2 linked regions of the Oryzias latipes genome follow. The protein of the gene in region 2 binds, or shares a complex with, the protein of the main gene of each other region. Links are inferred from orthologs where the notes say so. Each region holds a gene or a part of one and is shown on either strand. Other genes may lie near its edges.

The links. The genes of interacting proteins can lie anywhere in the genome.
Region 1: the proteins of rabggtb (region 2) and ykt6 are in contact, whole or in part, in a crystal structure (PDB 6J7F), measured with the Homo sapiens proteins. The link is inferred for Oryzias latipes from reciprocal best matches to the Homo sapiens genes RABGGTB and YKT6. Residues at the interface, in NP_004573.2 of Homo sapiens: Thr3, Pro4, Gln5, Lys6, Asp7, Ile9, Lys11, Tyr37, Leu45, Trp52, Leu236, Asp238, Cys240, Arg281, Gly283, Asp284, Met285, Asp287, Phe289, His290; in NP_006546.1 of Homo sapiens: Lys60, Gln62, Asp63, Leu65, Asn83, Glu84, Tyr85, Pro86, Ser87, Leu153, Asn155, Thr156, Glu158, Arg189, Lys190, Cys194, Cys195.

The regions. Positions count from the first base shown.
Region 1 is NC_019867.2:5,875,819-5,880,766, forward strand, and holds the end of ykt6 (synaptobrevin homolog YKT6), read left to right. Parts: intron 1-1,425; coding exon 1,426-1,527; intron 1,528-1,647; coding exon 1,648-1,683; 3' UTR 1,684-3,445; downstream 3,446-4,948. UniProt on the Homo sapiens protein: Vesicular soluble NSF attachment protein receptor (v-SNARE) mediating vesicle docking and fusion to a specific acceptor cellular compartment. Functions in endoplasmic reticulum to Golgi transport; as part of a SNARE complex composed of GOSR1, GOSR2 and STX5.
Region 2 is NC_019875.2:3,790,995-3,795,306, reverse strand, and holds the end of rabggtb (geranylgeranyl transferase type-2 subunit beta), read right to left. Parts: intron 3,765-4,312; coding exon 3,712-3,764; intron 3,627-3,711; coding exon 3,516-3,626; intron 3,282-3,515; coding exon 3,156-3,281; intron 2,023-3,155; coding exon 1,873-2,022; intron 1,797-1,872; coding exon 1,656-1,796; 3' UTR 1,096-1,655; downstream 1-1,095. UniProt on the Homo sapiens protein: Catalyzes the transfer of a geranylgeranyl moiety from geranylgeranyl diphosphate to both cysteines of Rab proteins with the C-terminal sequence -XXCC, -XCXC and -CCXX, such as RAB1A, RAB3A, RAB5A and RAB7A.

The DNA.
Region 1 (4,948 bases), on a different chromosome or scaffold from region 2:
CCTTGATGAAAACATGTCAAACTCTCTTAACACAGTCAATAAGCTTCAATGCTTACTTTAAATTCTTCTAGCATAGATGGACAATCCATGTGAGAAAAAAAAATACCTTTTCATATTTAGAATTCACTTTTATACGGTTATTTTATTTGAGCAGAAATATCTTTTATGAACTATAAAGTACTCTTTCTTTTTAATATTTTATTTTTCCCTACTTTTCCTTGAAGATTTGGTGTTTTCTGTCGCTGTGAAATAAAACTGTAGAAACACTAAAGCAATTTGACTTTAAACTAAGAGGTGGAAATAAACAGTGTCTTTGCCATTTTTGAACAAGAGGCTCAAAAAGATGCCATCTGTGGACGTTTAACGGTCAGCAGAACCCGGGGCTCTGGACGCAGCATCATAGAATGTTTTTCTGGTTCTGATTTCTCAAAACTGCACATCTTTCCCCATCACAGGATTCGATACATACATGGTCCACAAATCAATGAATAAAATATTTAATTAACTTTGTGACAGTCCAGTTCTTTCACCTAAATGGATACAATCTAGATATTTGTTCTGTATTTGGCGTTTTCAAAACTATAAACAAACATGCCTTTTAACAGAGACACTCTTTTTCTTTCCTACTGACTTTAGATTTCAAGCAGCAACAACGGCTTCAGCTTCAACATTAAAACTGGCCTTTCGGGTCTTTTAGACTGTAGACTTTAATTTATTCAGGTATTTTTTGCAGTGCTTTGGAAAAAGAAGGGTTTAATAAACACGGCACATCCTTCGCTGTGGAACGTCTTCAGACAAATGAAATGGATCTGACTTGGTGGAAGCAAGCTTGTGATTGGACGTCTTTTTGTTTAATCTCATGTACAGAAAAAGACGAGTAAAGACACAACGGGAAGAGAATCTGACAGTTCCACAAACTGATCATGTTCTTACAGATCTATTTTATAGCTTTTTACCAACATAATCTTGTATTTGTGGTTTTCAACTGATAATGCTGTTACACGCACCGTCTTTTTTTTATCTGCATGTATCTGAATCCTTTACATCCCCACTTAAAACCTTTTTTCCACCACTAACTGCATTTATTCATTTTTCAAACACTAAACTGTTCCTTATTTTTTGAGGCCCAGAATTGAACCACCAACTGATTTAGCTGGTAATTAAATTTTAAGCACCTTTTAGCAGTTTGTCAATATAAGTTTTTGCATAAATGTGTTCAAAACAACGCTCAAGTGCTATAGTAAGCAATTAATCACTAATATGCTTCACAAATCTATTGTTTTTAGACGGAATATAAATTTATTAGTAACAAAAATGGAATAGATCGGATAAATATTTGTCCTGTTTTTTTTTTGGGGGGGGGGTCATGAGCTCATTGGAACCTCTGTTTCTGTTTTATGATAATAAAGCTGTTGTCTTCTGCAGCACAATACTATGGAAAGTCTGCTGGAGAGAGGAGAGAAACTGGATGATCTTGTGGCAAAATCAGAGCACCTGGGAAATCAGTCAAAAGCCTTCTACAAAACTGTAAGTCCTGATGACTTTTAGCTCAGCTGTCCTTACCTAAATAAAAAAAAATGTAAAAGTTGTTCTATTTCTACAAAAAAAACCAAGCGTGGCATGTGTGTTCTTCTATTTACCCTCCAGGCACGGAAACAGAACTCGTGTTGTGAAATCATGTGATGTCTCTGCCTTGTCCTGTTGGGACGCGCCTCTCTCTGCCTTTCTGCTTGTCCTACAACCCCCATCATGCATCAGTCACAAGCTCTTCACAAGGACCTCGTCTCAGATGGAGCACCAAGACGAGAGCGGGAAAGTGTGGCCGGTCAAAGAGTGCCGTCTCTGGATTGGGACTGATGGGGGCTGAAGGAGTGATGAGATGTAGTCGGAAGAATTTTAATTTAATAACAAATTATCCTTCACCTTTAAAGGCATCTGTGTGATCAGTACCAGCCGAGGACATGATGGTGTGTGTGTGTGAGACTATGTGTACAGGACGTGTGTGGTCAAAATATCTTCAAACCATTTAATGTTGTCTAGATTGAATCTGATCTTAATCTCCTAAAACAGTTGAAACGTAATAACCATAATTGTGCTTTTTCCTCATGGAAACAGACAATCTTGTTTATGTAATCATATGTTTTGCAGTCCGATTCTCAACTGTTTTATTTTTTTTTCTTCAATCAGAACTCTATAGACCCACTGGGTGGTGCTGTTTGATCACATTGCGGTTTAAATGAGTCTCGTTGAGCTCAATTAAATATATATATAAATATATGAAGTGTCAGCTTGGGGGTGCGACACCAAAGTCTCTCTGACTTTTACCTACATTTCTTTGAAAAGTTTTGCTTTGCTGGATTTAGTTACAGAATTTTTTTTCTTTTCTTAATTTATGTGGAAAAAAATGATTAGCATTCCCATTCGGCTGTATTTAAGCGAGGCTTAAAGCTGTTTAAACATGAAGTGTTAAATGTAGCGCTGGCATCAGTGGGGAGTTTGTGCGTTGTTAAGTCGTCCGGACGGTTGTGTATTTGCCACGCTTCATAAAATGAGTTTAAAGTATGACTCTGAGGTGTGGATTTTAGATCAGATCACATTCCAGGCTTAAAAACTTTATTTTTGTCACTGTGAGCACAGTTAAGTCTTATAGGGTACATTTAGCTTCTTTGAGAACTCGCCGGTTTGAGGGGAAGCGATGCCTTTTGGTTGTGTGTTTTAGATGTCTCTTTCACTCCTTTTGTAGATATACATGTGAGGTGCAGACTGCTTTGATTGGAGTGCCAGTGTGTTTGGAGAAAAATGTCTGTTTGCTCTTTCTGCTTTTACAGTATAACATTGGTGCAATATGTGCAACTCTTTGCAAATAAAGAGGAAAAACCAGTTAAAATATTTCTCACTATACTGACATAACATTAAAATGTATACACACTTTTGTTTTGACTAACACACATAAAGATTGAATTTTTGTTTTTTTTTCAATCTTTAAGTTAAATGAAATCCTTTGTAAGATTTCTGAACTTCTGTTGTAGTTTCTTTGCAGTTCAGGTCTTACATAGATTATTAAATAGTGCATTCAAGATTTTTGATCAATGTCTGCTTATTAAAACCAAATGTGTTCAAATACATTTTTGTTTGCGCTAAAAAATTAGATTGGGGGATGATGGTGTAATATTGGTTAATTCGAGGCTTTTATTTTGACTTCTTTATTTTTGACTTTTAAACAACTGTAGTGTTGTGTACAATGATACCAATATTTTTTGAAGACGCCCAAGATTTTATACATTTTAAAATCTAAGATTTATCTGAAACAATTTAATTTATAATTGGCAAAATATAAATTACATTTTTCAATGCTGCAAAGAAAGTGCTCATAAGAGCCACTCAGCCACTTCAAAGACTGTGCTTTACATTTAAGAGCATGTTAATAAATATATTTGGAACTTAACATTTGTTTTTGTTTTTTTCCTTTTCAACCTCCAAAGGGATCTAGTAGTTCAAGAGAATGGATGAGTTACAGTGCATTTGTGTCAAGATAATTAAAGTAAATTTTGTACTATTTCAAAAATGCAAAATTTCACTTAAATTGTAGTAAATGGCAGTTCCCTTTTTTTTTTGCATTTCAGTAGGCTAGGGCCACCATACAATAAATATATGAGAATAAAATTATAGGAAAATCTAAATATTGCAAGAATAAAGTCATAAAATTAAAAGAAGGCAATTATTTATTAGAATGAAATCTTAAAGTTATGATTTAAAATGTCATAACTATACAATAAAATTGTTTTTTCTTTAAATATAAAGATAAATTTATGAAAATACATTTACAAAAATGTAAGGCAGATTCAGAGAGGTTCTTAAGCAGTGATGTCCTGCAACAGAAAGAAGCCTAAACAGGTTACATTTGATTGTCTTTGTTGAAACATTTTAAAAGCTAACTGTAAAAACTTTATTTTTAAAACATGACTTTGACCTTGTAAAATAATTATTTTCTGAAGTATAATTTTCAATTTCTATTTTGAATAACTGTACGACCTCAGTAAGATTTTGGATTTTTTACTCGAACGTTTGCAACTTCTTTTACAAAATTTTATAACTTTATTCTTGGAAAGGATTTATTTTTTTTCTCTCATAATTTTACAACTTTTGGCTTTTTTAACAATTTTATTCTAGTAAAATATTGACATTTTACTCATAATTGTACCACTTTATCCTCATAAAATTTTGACATTTACTTATAATTTTACAACTTTACAATTTCTTTTACGACTGTATTCTTATTTATTTGGTTGTTTATCTGTTCTGGTGGCTTAAATATCCCTTCCTACTCAAACAAACCAAAAAGATGCATTTAATGACCTCATCCCACTAAAAACGGGGCTTTTTGGACCATTCGACTCTCCGTAGATTGAAGATCCCAGCGCCAGGTATCAAACGCGAACTCAAAGCATGAAAACGGAGGTGGAAAACAAGTAGTTTTGCTAAATAGTCGGATCGGCTGTCTTCTTAACAGTGATAATGAGGGGAAAACACGCTCGAGTCTCTGTGAGGATTTAGCTTTTCTACAGAGTCCAGCTGCTGCAGAGCCGTAACGTAAGGGTACCGTGAAATTAAAAACTCTGTTGATAACCTTTTTTGGCAAAAAAAGGTCTGCAAAAATTTTGCAGACGCATTTTGTCGACTTCTTTTCTTTTTCGTTCAAATATAAGTGACATGACTTTGTTTCCGTGTACCAGAAACCAGGTTATTTTAATTTTCGTTTATTGCAGCTGATATTAACGACAGGTCAAACGAAACCATCAACAACATCCTGCAGTTTCTGTTTATTTAAAGCACAGTTTTTTTTTCAGATGGTTGAAGTGGAAAAGACTGAACTGCTTTTACGCACGTTTCAAGGTGGAAATGGTGAGCCTTCCTTCACTTATCACTGTGCTTTTGATTTTAATGTGCT
Region 2 (4,312 bases):
CAGAGATTTGTCAGTCTGCAGACGGCAGCGGGTCTGTGGTTCAGCGTCTGCCAGCAGCACATCCTGCAGGGGAATCTTACATAGAAAGGGAGCATTGGCTAAAAGCTACAGTTATTCTGCATTTTGATGAAAAAAAAAATATTTATAACTCGCACTATTTATGATTGACTTCACAGCGTTATTCTGTCCAATCCCTTCCTAGCTTGTGGTAAATCTACATGAAATTAACGTTTGATTTCTGACTTCTTAGAGGTTTTTTTATTTTTATTTATTTCTTTTTCTAAAATGTTCGCTCGTGCAGATCTTAGGTGAACTGAAGAAGAGGAGAAACAGAGCGAAGGTTTAGCTGTAAATACAATTATGATCCATCATCAAATGACAAATAAAGAATCATATTTAGAAGACGGCTTTTAACCACGTTTACCAGAATTCTGATATTCATTGACAAGGTAGCCAAATGTCAAAAAATGTTTCTGCTTTTCTACAAAATGTTTGACGTTGAGTTTGGGTTTAAGGTTACTGCGTAAATATGAGGCTTTTAGAAAAGAACATTTACAGTTTTATGGCTCAACTGCATGTTTTGTTTTTTTCTAATAACTCAAAAGATTTATGGGGTAAAAAACTCTTTCAAATTAAATGAATAATCTCTTCATAAAAATAGAACTTATGGAATTTAGATTCCTGAAACTGTCCTTGAAGAGTGAATCTCTTCCTAAATGTCAATGATTCATGATGGCTGAGTTTCCCAAAACAAAATAATTATAATTAGGAGGATAAAACACACAAAAACATCATTACTTAGGTTTGAAGGGTTTTCACTGGTCATTGATTTGCTGAAGGTCAAAGTTGAAAATATTTAAAGTGTTTTAACACAGAGCATAAACTTATTGAGGCTGTAATTGAGCATTTGTCTTATTCATCAAATTTGAATTCAAGTTTTGAAAAGCTCTTATTAGATTTAGAAAATCTTACTGATAAAACATGTTTTCTTTTCCTTGTATTAAGTAGAATCGTTTTAGCCTGAATGTGACGGCAGAGAGGAGACGGTTGAAAACTTCCCCACACAAGATAAAGAGCAGAAAGTGACCGAGCACAGAGTTTCCTGGAGCTTCGTTCAGACGCTCACAGAGTGACACATTTTAATAAATATAGTGGCTGGAAGTGTGGAGAAGACATTCAAGGTGGCATCAAAACGGAGCCTTCTGAGGCCGGCCGACACTCTCTGAAGCTGAGTGACATGAAACAGTCTTTGCAGCTTTGAAGCCCATGAACACAGCTGCAGGAGCATGAAGGCAGAAACATGAGACAACAGAGAGAGGCAGTCTCAGCTTCTAAAACATCAAAAATGATAGATTTGTCGCCCTCTCCTGAAACGTTTCCTCACTAAATGTATCAGGGGTTTTTCCACAGCAACATGTCAGATGGTCAGCAGTTGTTACGGAGATAAAAGGACAAAAACAGGACAGAAATGAGACAAGAGATGTTCCAGGACTGATCCAGTGGAGAGCTTCAGGAATGTTGAATGACGGAAACTTTCCTCGTTTGTTCAATGAATGAACTCAACTCTGGCTGAGAAACGTGCTTCTGTCTCTGCTTCCATTGTCCAGGCGTGGAGGTCGGAGGAGCATCACGTACACATGCCGAGCATCTGGAGGCTAGCTGAGGAGGTCCGGCTGCAGGCCGATCCTCTGTAACACGTCCTCTGGCATGCACAACACCGGATTTACCGCTTTGACCTGTTCCTCGCCCAGGAGGGAGAGTCCAGCCACCCCGAACAGAGTATGGAAAGGGTCCACCTTCAAAAAAACAGAACCACGGAGGTCCAGACATGTCGGATAGCTTCTTCTTCTTCTTATGTGTGTGATAGCTCACCATGTCTCCTGGTCTGTCAGCAAAACCTCCCGTCTCCTCATCCTGACAGGCCAGAATAAACTGGCGTAGTCTGGACTTGTCGATCCAGTGGATCCTACCGATGATTTTCAGAGATGCCAAAACCCACCAGGAGTAGCAGACATCTGGAAGCTGCAAAGACAGATGGCTTTGAGACCAGGAGTGCAAAACATTCACAGCTTCAGCCGTCTGCCAGTAGTACATAAAAGAAAAAGAAAAAAACGGCGAGCAAACTTGATGTTTGGCCTTAAAGCGGCAAAAGGCCTTCATCTCTTTCCTCCACAGAATGCGAGTGTTTGAGGAATCTCTGTTCTTCTTCTCTGTCTTCCACTCAAACCACAACATCACAAAATTCAGGATCTCACAGCTATTTCAGTGATTATTGCAGCACAAAAATCCTGAAGCCGCCGCTAGTTTTTGCCTTCAAAGTTGTGATCAAAGTTGCTACACTTTTCAAACTAAAGGGATGGCACACAAATTCTAAAGCTGTTTTATTTTCCAAGGGCAGCTTTATGCACCGTCACAGGAAATGCTCCACACTGATGAAAGTCCTTCTTCATCAGGGATTTCTTTACAATGATATCTTTTTTTGTCCTTGTTTGTTCAAGAGTGTTTGTCAAACCTGAACAATGGAATAACAGCAGCATGCTTAGCAAACTTCACACAAAAACATTATCTTTTCGTTAAAACGTTACATTTTAACTAAAGAATAAAAAGCTGACTCAGTGATGCTTTGAAAACCTTTTCCTTTCTGTCCGATAACATTAAATGTGCTCATTTCACCCCCAAAACCTGGACTCTAGATTTCTTTAAACCCACACACAGTAAATTGTGAAATTTTGATGGTGAAACTTGTTCAAAATGAGAGCAGCTGGACCGAGTCGGAGGCAGTTGATCGGAAGACCCGGAAAATTCTGGAGGGGCTGATATTTGAAGCCAACCCAGAAATGTTGTTACAGCAAGTACCACATGTTCTGTTTCTTTCTCACTTAATTCATAGGAACCCATGGAACCCATGGTGACATCAGTGTCACAGACAAACAGCAGAAACGTGTTCTGTGATCCACCACACTTCACTTTCCTTTTTAGGGAAAAAGGGGAATGACAGGAAATGTGTACACAAACACATTTTTCAGAACGCCGGCAGGTTTCTGAGGGCTGGTCCTCATGGGAAAAAGAGTTCAATGATCTTCTTCAACAGCACTAAGGTTTGGTTCACGAGGAAACTAAAAAGATTTGTGATTTCATGTTAGAAGCTGTCAAACCTTCTCAGGCCTTCCGTTGAGGCCTCCAGACGGCAGCTGGCGTTCGCAGAGCCACCAGCCCAGCAGGTCTGCGTTCAGCTGGTGCAGCTGGCCGGTGAGAGACAAGAACCCGGTGCAGCAGTAGATCTGAGACCAGAACCAGAACAGGTTTAGACTTTTGAAACACAACTGAGGCTTGAAGAGAAACACATAACAGTCCAGCATGAAAACTTTTCCTCCTGAGAACGCCTCCGCTTCTTAATCAGACCTCTGAGTTATGACGTGAGGTGGTGGAAGAAGGCCTGATTTGGTATTTTATTTGGACTAAAAAGTGAGGCTTTGCTTATTATTTCATAGAGAAATGACTCTTTAGTTCCTCACCTGCCCAGCGTGAGACTCTGAACCAGGTCTGCAGCCAAAACCGCCGTCAAAGTTCATGCAGGATAAGACGAACTCCACAGCTCTGTCAACATTTATCATCTCCATCTTTCCCTTCAAAGAACAGCATTAGTGTGAAAGGCAGTTTAGAGATTGGTGGGCTTTGGGATGAAAAACTGTGAACAAATAAAAAACATACCAGTAATGCAAGTGTGGCAACAGCACAGAAAGAAAACCGGGTGTCTATTTCTCCTGTAAACACAAAACAAAGAAAGAGAGAAATTCTCATTATAGTGAACAATTAAGACGTCTGTTTTTAATGTTAATAACAAAATGACCCTGAAACGTCACTTTTTTGGCTAAACTGTGGGCAGAAAAGCAGCTTAAAAACAGTTTCAAGTGTTTCAGACTTCAATGAGAAAAAAGAAACTTTACAGAGATGATCGGCATCAAACACATCCTAAAGTCCTCCTTTTTATAACGTTTCTACCAAGAAGAATTTCTGATAAAAACTAAAGAGCCAAACGTCTGGAAACCTCGAGATCTGTGCTCCTATAAGACTTCCACGCCTAGGGGGCATTTGCACAAACTCAATTACCTCCAAGCAGATAGAACCGTGAAAAAAAGAAACTCTGACGGGTGAAGTTTTATCAGTTTTTTCTTCTCTCTATAAAAAGATTTAAGTTTTTTTGTGTGGGTTTTTTCTTTAAATTTTTCACTAAACTTGATTTAATTCTATAAACTAAGGTAGCATGTATTAGTTATTTAAATAAATAAGATATTGAATAGCATACCAACAC